Canis lupus familiaris: one gene and its partners. The main gene of each other region encodes a partner of the protein of the gene in region 2 in a complex. Links are inferred from orthologs where the notes say so. Each region holds a gene or a part of one and is shown on either strand. Other genes may lie near its edges. The genes, in order: SMAD2, PIN1 and CPEB1.

Region 1 (3,999 bases), on a different chromosome or scaffold from region 2:
ATGAATAAGCCCCCATCTGCCAGACTGCACTAAATACAGCTTTTATATGCATTACAAAAACACCTGTATAAAAAGCTGCTACAAAACAAGGCCTTTGGAGCCCTAAAGCACAAAACCAACAGAATAAAAACCAAACAAGAATAAGGGGAGCTTTCAGACATTTATAAAAGCCCAAACTGAAAATATTTGCTAAATATAAAAATGGGTCTTTGATCAGTGGATGATGCAGCTCAACTGTTTTTCACTCACATATCTCCCCCCAACGTGAAGTAACAAGATTATGGCAATATGATTCTAATATTTACAGTAGGAAAATGAAAAGGGGACCTTTTGCCATCTTGAAGTAGAAACCAGCTTTGTTCCTATTAAAGAGAAAGGACTGCTGAAATACACAAAACCATCCCCAAATCCCTACTTAGTTAAAACACATACCGGGCCTGACAAGCCACAAACAACAGGAAATTACCCTGCATGGTTTCTTACAAGACTATTATTACATGAACCTTACAGACTGTGTAGAGATTTGATCACTTATGCCTAGGCACAGGTAAGAAGTTACAGCCACGAAAACCTAACTCTTGCTGAACACCTACAATGTGAAAGCACTATAGAAGGCATAGCTACAAAGTACAAAAGCGAAGCCCAAAGAGCGATTTCTTACTAAACAAGCCCAGAAATGGATGTTTCCTATCACATTTATAAAAACTGGCCACTGAACTACCTTAAACTCAACTTTAAGAGAACTAAGTGAGCACCTGGACTCAAAATATTCTTATTTACTACCGTAACTAGTTTTATGGCAAAAACTAAGGAACCTTAAAAATAAAGTCAGCGTTACTTTCTAAATTTAATGTAAATGTTTGGTAAATGACCGTCTGATTCAGAAAAATTCCACCAATATCCTGTATGGTTTTTTTCAAAGCAAATGAAAAAATAAAATCTTCAAACTAGGACACATTTATGAAATCCGTTTCACGTTATCTCTCCCAACTGTTACATTTGCTTCCCTTATCTCTTTATTTACATTAAAACTCCTCAAACTTCATTTAACTATTTAACTTACACTTCTACCTAAGAAAAACTTTTTAAAGGGAGTCAAAATCAAAAGTAGAACAATAGCAAATGTATTTTCAGAGTGGTAGCAAATTTGTTTTCTTATTCTGCTCAAGGAAAAACTTCCTTACAATCAGTGGTACAGGTTCAATTCACACAAAATTCAGAAGGAAAATGGAAAGGAACTAAGACTGCAGAATCATTAAAAATTCTGTAAATTAACTCAGATTTTGGGGGGGGGGGCACTTTCGAAAAATGGAATAACTCCAAGCAGGTCTGCAGTGACCATTTATTTATTCATTAATAGTTACTTTACATGTGTTACTTTAGAAGTTCAAGACAGCAAAATTGAGGACACTTAAAAGTGTAACAAACAAGACACGGTTTTCACGGAAAATGCTACTTCCAGAATCGTTCCACCCGGAGATGGTTTTTAAAATAATGGTTTAATGAACAACCAGCCGGTAGTATTTAGCTTTTAAGGGGTCAAGAGGAAGGAACACCAAAACCAACCTAGGTATTGTTTTTTCTTTTGTTTAGGATCAAAAGGAAACCATAACCACAGAAAGGTTAAGTAAGTAAAAGGCAAAAGTACCCAACCCCAAGGACAGTATCCCCCAAGAGAGAACAAAACCATTAAGGTTGCAAATGTGTAAACCAAGTTTGAAATACGTGAAATCAATTAGCGTGCTTTCTAAAAGGCGTGTGATAAAAACCAACAGGCTCCACTCCCAGGGCAACTTTCACAAGTGAGTGCAGGATCTCCACGGAGGATCAGCCGTGTGCCTGCTTGTGCAGAGTACACGCGAGCAGTTCCGAACCCCGGGTTTAGAATGGTTAACAAAGGTTACAGGACCAAAAAAAAAAAAAAAAAAAGTGGAAGCGAAGTATCGCACGCTCCTACCAGGGCTTGCCAACAACTCCCGAAACAAGAAGAGCTCGGTCCCTCCGGCTTTGAAAATCAGAACCACAAAGTACGAAGCGTGTTCGCGGCAGGGGAGACGGGCCACGGCCGGGCAGCTCCGGCGCCGACCCAGGCCCCGCGCCCCCCCGCGCCCCCCCGCGCCCCCGGCCCCGACCCCGCCACACCCCGGCCCCCAGGGCCGTGCGACGCGCCGAGCCTCGCCGAGACCCGAGCCCGACGCAAACACACCCCTACCCCGAGGGCCCGCCGGGCGCCGCCGCTTTACCTGCACCGGGGCTCCGGGTCCCGCCCCGTCAGAGCCGGGGGTCCGGGACCTTTTGTTCCTTCCTCTTCCGAATGGGATGAGGGGCTGGGAGGGGAGAGGGGAAGGGGCGACTGGAGGCGGAACTGAAAACACTCCCGCGGCCGCCCGGCCCGGCCCGGCCCGCCCCGCCCCCCAGCCAGTGCCCGGCCCGCGGCCCCGCGCGCGGGGAGGGGACGCGGGCTCGGCCACCGCCCGCGGGAGGGAGGGGGTGGGGACGCGCGTCCCGCCGCCGCCGCCGCCGCCGCCGCCGCCGCCGCCGCGCCGCGCCGCCGCCCCTCCTCCCCTCGGGCGCGAGCCCGCCCGCATCCCCCGCCCCCCGCCCCGGGCCGCCCGGACGGCCGAGCCCTCCCCCGCCGCGCCCGCCGGCCCACCTCCGCTTCCGCCCTGCGCCCTCCGCCGCCGGCCGCAGCGGCGCGGCGCGGCGCACCCACCTTCGGGCGGCTGGCTCGGCGCTCGCTGGCTGCTGGCTGGGAGCTGCTCCGCCGCCGCCGCGGCCGCGCGGTAGACCCGCCTCCCACCCCGGGCCGCGAGCCCCGCCGATTCGCCGGCGCAGCCCCGGGGCTGGCACCCTGCCGCCCGCTGATTGGCGCCCCCGGCCGCCCGTTAGGGCGCGAGGCACGCCGGCCGAGCGCAGCGCCCGGCGCGCACGGAAGACGGGGCGAGCGGAGGAGGGAAGGAGGGAGGCCGAGCGCCCGGGAAGGGCCGGGGCGCGAGCGGGGCTCGGAGACTCGCGGGCCACTACCTCCCCACCTCCGCTCCCTTCGGCCGCCCCGCCCTCCCGGCCGGACCGGCGGCGCGCGCAGCCAATGAGCGCGCGCGGTGCTCGGGGTGTGAGCCGCGCGTCGGGGGCCTCGAATCGGAAGGGAGACGTCGCTCGCTGATTGGTCCCGCCTCCCCCGTAGAGCGTGAGGCGAGGCGCGGCCGCCGGGCGGGCGGGCGGGCGGCCGGGGCCGAGGCGGGGTGGCACGCCCGCGGCCTCGGCTGGCGACGTCTGGGGCGCGCTGCCGCGGGCGGCTCCGCGGCGGGAAGGCGCGGGACCTGCCGCGCTGCCGGCCCCGGCCCGGCCCCGCCCCGCCGTCCTGCCCGCGCCATTGGGTGGGGCCCGTGGGCCGCCGCCGAGCCCACCGCCCGGACCCCGCCGCGAGCGGACACGTGCTCGTCCCGGGGGAGGCCCGAGGGCCGCCTCGAGGACGCGCCGAGCCGGGGCCGGGCCGACCGCGCCGAGTGAGTGGGCGGGGCCCTCGTGCAGCCGAACGGGGCGGGGGCCGAGCCGCAAACCGGCGCTGGCGGGGCTCTTCTCCGGGCCCCCGCGGCGGGCGGGGGGATGCCAGGTGTTTCTGAAGAGCCGGGACGTGGTTCCGCCTTCGCGGAAGGTGGTGCGACTGCCGCATGCTCCGAGAGGCCCTCGCCAGGTCTAGACGCTAGGAGCCTAACACGATGCTCCTCACCGCTCTCTGGCCCTCCCTTCCTCCTCGTTTCTCCGGCGTCCAGGCGGTGTTCGCAGGCCCCGACCCGGAGGCCCTAAGCTGCCGGCCGCCCAGGCCGTCCAGGCCGCCCAAAGCCGGGGGGGCGGCTGGGCATCCGCACTGCCGTAACCTTGTCGCTTTGACCCTGCAGACACCAAGCCTCGGCCGGAAGCATGGACCCCGACTAATCACGTTCAAGTATTTACTTACTAAGCATCTACTATGTTTGGCGGCGAGCACCGTAGGACTAC
Region 2 (4,286 bases):
CTTGGCACCTACACACCAGGTATGGGCAGGTATGTGACAACACCCATTTTACAGAGGGGAAAACTGAGTCTCAAGATGACACAAGCTCCCCCTGGAGCTTACAGGGCATAGCCACCATCTGAACCCAGGGCTGCCAGCCCCCAAGGCTGGGTCCTCCTCTCGTAACCTGGCTCACCCTCAAATGCCAAATAGAAAGAAAAAGGAGAGGCAGCTGTGCAGTCCAGGCTCACGTCACGTACAGGCAGTTCGGTGGCAGCCAATGCTGACAGCTGAGTTAGCTGGGGTGCAGGGCCTGGTGTGATTTCTACGAGGCTGGCTCCAGCTCCCAATGAGGGGACAACCTCTCCCCACATTCCCCCCACTCCAACCTGCTTCCAACTCTGCTCACCATTAATCAGCTCCAGGGCCTCCTCCTTGGTCCTGGTGATCTTCTCCTGTCGCCAGGATGAGGGCCGCCGGGACTGGCTGTGCTTGACAAGCAGGTGCGAGCAGCGGACCCTGGTGGGCTCCCCTTGTCCATTTTTGCTGCCACTGCTGCTGTTGCCACTCGGCCGCTCCCACTGGCTGGCATTAGTAATGTGATTGAAGTAGTATACCCGGCCTGGAGGAGGGGGGATACAGGAATTCAGCTGGGACCTGCTCAAAGGACACCACCCGGAGGCCAAGATGACGGACCGGCCAATGGGATTCCTTCATTCAACAAATCCCCTGAGTCCACCTCGAGCTACAGGCCCCGAGGGAGCCAGCATTCTAGATGGGGATGGGCAGGCCCCAGACAAGCAAATAAGACAATGTCATAACTTCAGTTATTAGTGACTTCAAGGAGGAAAACCACCCAGAGTGACAGGAGAGACGAAGCCGGTGTGGGGACAGGCAGCCAGGCTGCCTGTTCAAGTCTGGCTGTCACTCACTGTGTGAGCTAACCTCTCTGGGCCTTGATTTTGTCACCTGTAAAATGCAGATAACAACAGTCCCTGCCTGTAGGGTTGTGCTAAGGACTGAGTGAGCTCACAGCGGTAACACACTTAGACTAGTGCCCAGTACACATTAGGAGCGTGACAGCTATCATCTCCCTGTAGACGACAGAAGTGAGGCCTCACCTTCCACACCTTTGGAATGTTTCCTGAGTGTACACTTGGCCCCAGGCACACATGGCTGGAGGCAGGAATTAAACCCAGGTTGCCAAACATGAAAGCTCTGTTCTTAACCCGCACCCAGTGTACAGCGCTGCACAACTATGGACCAGCAGTACAGGGGGGTCAAACGTTACCCAGGGCCCAAGGAGCAGGAAGGAGGGAAGGCCACAAGAGAGAAGATTGAGGTAGAACCCAGGAGAGCCCAGGCATCATTCCAGGGGCTGAGATTTTTGCACGACTGGCACCCAGCACCGTGAAGAACTGAAGGTCACCCCTGAGGAAGACCATTAGGGTGGAGCCGAGCAGAAATGGCCAGAGAGGGGGCCCAGAACAGGGCAGAGCATCAGGATTCATGCTGTCAGCTGTGGCCACGGAGCAGGGCTGGAGCGGGCTCAGTGAGAGCTGAGCCAGTGACCGACCCTAAAACCTTGCAATGGCCTCTCTCTCCATGAACCTTGGTTTTCTCATCTGAAAAGTGGGGGTGAAGCGAGAGATTAAGGACATAACTTCACGGGGCTAATGTGGAGAACAGTGATGATCCGTGCAAAGTGCTCACCAGAGGGCCTGGCCTTCAATGAGCAGATATCACTGTGACTGTGATTTTTATGGGCTGGGGAGGCAGTGCGGTGAGATGCTGGGCCTGCTCCTCACTGGTCTGCAGTGACAAGGGCAGGCGGGCTCTGCTGTCAGACTGACCGGACTCTAATCCAGCCCCCACCCCCTGAAATGAATGACCTTGGGGGAGCTCCTTAAGTTTTCTGACTTCTGCTTCCTCACCTGCAAAACGGGGTGATAACTATCCACCTCCCAGAGTTGTGGTCATTCAGAGAGAGAGAGGGAGAACACACTCCAAACACACTTGGCACAGGGCTGGGCGGTAAGATGAGCGTGCGGTTACGGGTATTATTACTGTGGATAAGCCTCAGATCGGGCTCCCGGCACAGGGTCCATCCACCGGGCGGCGACGACAGACTCGGGTTAGGCGGGGATGGCCGGCGGGTTAGCAGGGGCAGGTTGTGGGCCCGAGGCCCGGCAACGCTCTGAGGCCACGCCCTGAGCGTGGGGTTGGGGTGTCCTTCCCCGGGGTGCCCCCCGGGCCCAGCAGGGTGCAGACACGGTCCCCGGGGACGTCGGGTGCAATAGGCCAAAAGGTGTCAGCCGGATCGGCAGGGCCAGGGCCATCACCTGGGGGAGTGCTGCGGGATCCCCGGCCCCCCGCCCCCGCCCCCCCCACCCCCGGCAGCGCGCTGGGTCTCTCCGGCCCCGCCCCTTGCCTCAGTTTCCTCCGGCATCCCCGCTCCTGAGGTTCGCAGCCCCCACGGGGCGGGCCCGGGCCGTTACCCTGGGAAGACGCGGAGGAGCCAAGACCCCACGGGAATCGGGCGGCGGCGCCGCGCCCCAGGGGCGAGCTCGAGCCCTGCTTCCGCGGGCCCGCGCGGCCCCGCCCCAGCCCCGACCCCCGCGGCACCTGAGCTGCGGCTCATGCGCTTCTCCCAGCCGGGCGGCAGCTTCTCCTCGTCCGCCATCTTCCCTCCTGCCGCAGCGCCCGCTCCGCCTCCGCCGCACCGCCTATGCCGCCCGCACCCGCCCACCGCCGCCGCCGATTGGCTCGGCCCGCCTCGCCCCGGGGCCCGGCGACGATGCTCATTGGGCGCCCGAGCAGTCCGGAGAGGCCTTCGGGCTTTCTATTGGGTAGCGGCGAGACTGGGCGGACCCTCCGTGCGTTCTACCGGGTCCCGCCCCCGTACGGCCTCCCCCGGATCCCGCCCCCTTCCTCCCTCGGCCGCTGACTGGTAGGGAAGGGGCTGGAGCCCGTCCTTCTCCACAGCCTCCGGCGAGCTTCACAGAAGTCCGGGCACCTCCTTTGCGTCCTTCGCCGCAGGCCCCATCCGATTGGCTACTGCGGCAGTAGTTCCCGCCTTCCTCAGCCGTTCCCGGAGGCCCGCGCCCCCTTATGCGGAAGTGTCCGGGTGGTTTCGAGGTGACGGCAGCCCACGAGGTACTTGAAAGAGGCGGTGCTGCCTTAGCTGTTGCCGTAGCAACGCAGTTGCCTTGGTGATGAGCAGCGAAGAAGCCTAAATTTGGCTCCTCCATCCTCCTTCTCCCCACCTGTTTCCTCCAGATGTCCAAAGCTGTCCCCCCACTTTTTTTTTTTCTTTTGCGAGACTAACCCTTTCCCTGTGCCACTGACCAAACATCTTCTACTTCCTTTGGAACCTACTTAACTTATTCTCTCGGTCTGGCTCCTGCCTCTGTCCTGGGTGACTGGTGGGTGTTGGCATGGCCACTTAGCTGGCGACACAGGAGGATGCGTCTGTAGGAGGATGATGAGCTCAGTTTGAATCGTCTTAAAATTGAGTCTGCGGCACCTGTGGGACTCTGGGGAGGTGCCTGGGGACAGGCTGGAGATAGATACGAGAGGCAAAGACACCAACAAGGAAGAGTTCAATGATAGTTCATCTAGAACTAGACCCCTATGTGACCATTGAAAAAGAATGAGGCGGGGATCCCTGGGTGGCTCAGTGGCGTAGCACCTGCCTTCAGCTCAGGGCGTGATCCTGGAGTCCCGGAATCGAGTACCACATCGGGCTCCATGCATGGAGCCTGCTTCTCCCTCTTCCTGTCTCTGCCTCTCTCTGTGTGTGTCTCTCGTGAATAAATAAAATCTTAAAAAAAAAAAAATGAGGCACAGTCATATAAAACATGGGAAAACATGTCTACAAGAAATAGGATATAGTAGGTTAAGAGCATTCAAGAGCCAGATCGCTTGTGTTCAAAGCCTGGCTATGACTTTGAAGAAACTAATCTCTGTGTTTCAGCTTTTCAGCTTCTCCATCTGCAAATGAGAATAAGAAATATATATATCTCATACATACCTTTGATGCAAAAATTGAGTTAATCTGTAGAATGCTCTCCAAACAGCGTCTGCCTCATAGCAAAAATATGTTTGATGAGTGAAAAGAAAAGCTAGTCACTGTACAGTGTAGCAATTATAGTATGTATGAAAGCATAACAAATCAACAAACATTAATTGAAAATAATTAGTTATAGAAAGATATCAAAGCATTAAAAAAAACAAAAAGGAAGCTGCAGAATATGTATAATTATCTTAATTGTGTAAAAACTATATACCAAAATTTCTGGATTCAT
Region 3 (3,512 bases), on a different chromosome or scaffold from region 2:
CCACTGCGAACGTGTATGGAACTTATTCTCTACGGAATAGAGGGTGCCTTATACACTCCTCAAGCCATACATTTCAGGACCCAAGCAGCAGAGTCTCTTTTTACAAGTTACTTCAAGAGCTTTGAGAAAGTTAATTTCAAAAGTTAATATGGGAGTTCTTGCATTGTTCTGTTTCTTGGCCTGCTTGGTGATTTTCTTTAGCCTTGAAACAGTAACCATTTATGTACCTTTACATGTGTTATCTCAAAATTTCTAAGGGAAGATTTTAAAAATCATGCATTAGTAATTATCAGAGCCAGAATTTTAAACCCAGTCAGGCTGACTGTAGCTCCTTTATCCTCTTTACCTACCCATGCCACCTGTCAGTTTGAGGCCATGATGAATGTATGAACTGGTGCCTCAGAGTTAATTTATATAGCACATGCTCTTTATCCACAGCCATGTGTGACAGGTGAGGCACATGTGCTAAAGTAGGATTAGCAAATGGATGAGAATAGATGAGGGATATAGGAGACTGTGGAAGTAAATACATGGGAATGACTATGAGAAATTATCATAAAATAAAATACAATTTCAGGTGCCTTCTGAGCCTTTCTCCCCTGCCAAACCCCTGTCCGGTGACCATTCAGTGAATAGGATGGCTTTTCTTGCCCTTTTCTCTTCTATATCCAGGACTGGTACCTTTGGATGTGGTTAGTTTACTATCCAGAGCGTGAACTTTTAGGGTCTGTCTGTCTCCTGTCAGCCTGTCCTAGAATATGAAAGCTAGGTGTTCCCACTGCTTGTTGGTTTTATCTGTTAGGCTATGTTTCCAGATGGGTAATAACAAGCAGGTCCTTTTGATTCTCTGGACTGTAGTTTACTCCCCTATAAAATAGGGTTGGATGCTTGGGGTTCTGCTTATGTTAATTCAGATGGGGGCATGCCTGGGTGGCTCAGTGGTTGAGCATCTGCCTTCAGCCCAGAGCATGATCCTGGAGTCCCGGGATCAAGTCCCACATCGGGCTCCCTGCATGGAACCTGCTTCTCCCTCTGCCTATGTCTCTGCCTTTCTCTCTCTCTCTCTCTGTCTCGTATGAATAAATAAATAAAATATTTAAAAATAATAATAATAATAATAATTCAGATGGAACTCTGTCTTGAAAATTTACCTCATAACTAAATTTGATATTCTGGGATTTTGTTTAAAGAATTTTCTCAGATACCATACTCCCAAGGGTTAATTGGTGAAGGGATATGAGCAGACAGCTAACAGATGGAGAGAAATAAGGGCACCTGGGTGGTTCAGTGGTTGAGTGTCTGCCTTTGGCTAAGGACATGATCCCTGGATCCTGGCATCGAGTCCCACATTGGGCTCCCTGCAGGGATCCTGCTTCTCCCTCTGCCTATGTCTCTCTGTCTCTCTCTCTCTATCTCTCATGAATAGTTAAGTAAAAATCTTTTTTAAAATTTTCAAAAAAGGAAAAAAGAGGCGGTATTTGAATTTACAGGAAATATTCTGAGTAATTAGTTTGTGGGGTCTTTTTTTGATAATGTATCATTTTTATCTACTTAAGTAAAATTTAGTACTTTGACATAAGCTTATAATAAAACCCACACTCTCATACATTTCTGATAGAAAGCAGAACCTCATAGAAAGCATGTTGGCATTTTATATCTAGGAATTGAACCTAGAAAAAAACCCACCATACATATAAAGCAAGAAGTTATACCTTAAAGTTTGTATTTATAATCCTGAAAACTTGGAACGTGTCTAAATGTTTAACAGTAGGGGAGTAGGTTAGCGAAATGTAGCATGTTCCCTAAATAGATTATCATAAATTAATTAAAAATGATTATGAAGACTGCCTGGGAATATGAAAAAAAATGAATTGGGGAGAAAAGTATTTGTTTAAATTATAGCATAGAACAACTAATCAAAAATGAATAAGAAGAAAGCCTAAAAGAAAATATCAGACCTAACTGGTATAATTTCTATATAGAGTATGATTATTGATTTTATAACAAAACTGTCCTTTAAAAACCTGTATCTTCCTTTTTGCTTCCCTAGTCAAGCCTTCGAATTTCCCCTCCACTCCCCTTCCTGTCTCTGACGGGGGGTGGTCCCAGAGACCCTTTAAAGATGGGGGTTGGGTCCCGGATGGACCAAGAGCAAGCTGCTCTCGCTGCGGTCAGCCCCTCCCCAACCAGTGCATCCAAGAGATGGCCAGGAGCTTCTGTGTGGCCATCCTGGGATCTCCTCGAAGCTCCCAAAGACCCGTTCAGCATAGAAAGAGAGGCCAGGCTGTACCGGCAAGCTGCAGGTGAGTGTGGATGTGGCCATGCGTGGGGCCTGAGGCCTTGTTCTGGGCACAGGGAGTATGTGACCTTAGTTCCTAGACTGGTGAACTGTCCAGAAGAGGGACTTAGTTGTGTGGTGAAGTCTCTGGTCTGTTTTGTGGGGTAAGTACTAATGGGACAAACTCAGGAATTTCTCTGAGGCTGAACAGAGAGGAAAGACGCTGTGCCCGTATGGGGTTGGAGGCATCTCTTCCTTGTGGTCTTTCATGGAGGTTGGCTGTGTACCAGTGTAGCTTTTGATTCTTTTCACGGGTGGGCATCTTCAGGAGATACCCTGGAAGTGATGCCCAGAATTCCACCTTTCCCCTTTCTAATTCAGAAACCTGTGAGATATATAACCTATGCTGGAGCTATTTTCCCTGAGGCTTTCTGTTTGGTATCAATCAGTTTACCAAGGCTTCCAGGAGATACTCACCGACTGCTCTTCTGAGGTTCTGGAGTTGATAACTAAGTGAATGTTCAGTTTCTCTATCCATTTGTTTTTTGTAGGCTTCAGTACATTTGTCCCATCACAAAACTGGACCTGATCTCATTCTCCCCTGATAGTTCTGCTGCCCTGTTCACTTAAAGGTTTTGGCAGCCCATGATTGTATTAGTGCCACTGTTTGCCTGTGAAATGACATTACCTTGCTTTTGGATGGGGCCGTTATATTGATTTATGTTTTTGTTTGCAAAATATTGCTGATGGTACCCAAGTTCTTGGCGTAGCAGCACCCTGGATCTGTGCCTTTTAAGGAATGAGCTTCCATGTCATTGTCCTGGATGGAAGTGATGGTTTTTTGGCGCCCTGCCCCAGTGCTGAAGTACTAAAATGGGCAAGAACGAGCCAGTCCCCACTGAGCTTAGTCTCTGGTCTGGAAAGGCATAAATTGAGACAGGTCAAAGGCCAAACTGGTTGCCAAGAACGGAGAGGCCTCTAGGTTTTATAATAGACCAAACAGAAGATAGTTTCTACTCTGTAGAGCAAGAGTGGTTTCTTAACAAGGTGTTTAAGTCAGAGAAACTTCACTGTGAGTTTAGACAAGCTCGGATTTGGTATAAATTGGAAGTGGGGTAGGTGGGGGAATATCCATTATCTTACAGTGTTGGCATCAAGGAAGGCCCAGTGTCCGTTCAGGTGCTGTGAGACACCGGCAGTGATGGGACATGGCTCTGAGTAGGTGGAACAGTGG

The links.
Region 1: the proteins of PIN1 (region 2) and SMAD2 are in contact, whole or in part, in an NMR structure (PDB 2LB3), measured with the Homo sapiens proteins. The link is inferred for Canis lupus familiaris from reciprocal best matches to the Homo sapiens genes PIN1 and SMAD2. Residues at the interface, in NP_006212.1 of Homo sapiens: Glu12, Arg14, Met15, Ser16, Arg17, Ser18, Tyr23, Phe25, Trp34; in NP_001003652.1 of Homo sapiens: Pro218, Glu219, Thr220, Pro221, Pro222, Gly224.
Region 3: the proteins of PIN1 (region 2) and CPEB1 are in contact, whole or in part, in an NMR structure (PDB 2N1O), measured with the Homo sapiens proteins. The link is inferred for Canis lupus familiaris from reciprocal best matches to the Homo sapiens genes PIN1 and CPEB1. Residues at the interface, in NP_006212.1 of Homo sapiens: Arg17, Tyr23, Ser32, Gln33, Trp34, Glu35; in NP_001352172.1 of Homo sapiens: Arg206, Ile207, Ser208, Pro209, Pro210, Leu211, Pro212, Phe213.

The regions. Positions count from the first base shown.
Region 1 is NC_049228.1:43,687,449-43,691,447, reverse strand, and holds the start of SMAD2 (mothers against decapentaplegic homolog 2), read right to left. Parts: upstream 2,812-3,999; 5' UTR 2,714-2,811; intron 2,328-2,713; exon of another isoform or gene 2,244-2,327; intron 1-2,243. UniProt on the Homo sapiens protein: Receptor-regulated SMAD (R-SMAD) that is an intracellular signal transducer and transcriptional modulator activated by TGF-beta (transforming growth factor) and activin type 1 receptor kinases.
Region 2 is NC_049241.1:51,560,362-51,564,647, forward strand, and holds the start of PIN1 (peptidyl-prolyl cis-trans isomerase NIMA-interacting 1), read right to left. Parts: upstream 2,811-4,286; 5' UTR 2,663-2,810; coding exon 2,605-2,662; intron 602-2,604; coding exon 389-601; intron 1-388. UniProt on the Homo sapiens protein: Peptidyl-prolyl cis/trans isomerase (PPIase) that binds to and isomerizes specific phosphorylated Ser/Thr-Pro (pSer/Thr-Pro) motifs.
Region 3 is NC_049224.1:54,906,360-54,909,871, reverse strand, and holds part of CPEB1 (cytoplasmic polyadenylation element-binding protein 1), read left to right. Parts: intron 1-2,050; coding exon 2,051-2,303; intron 2,304-3,512.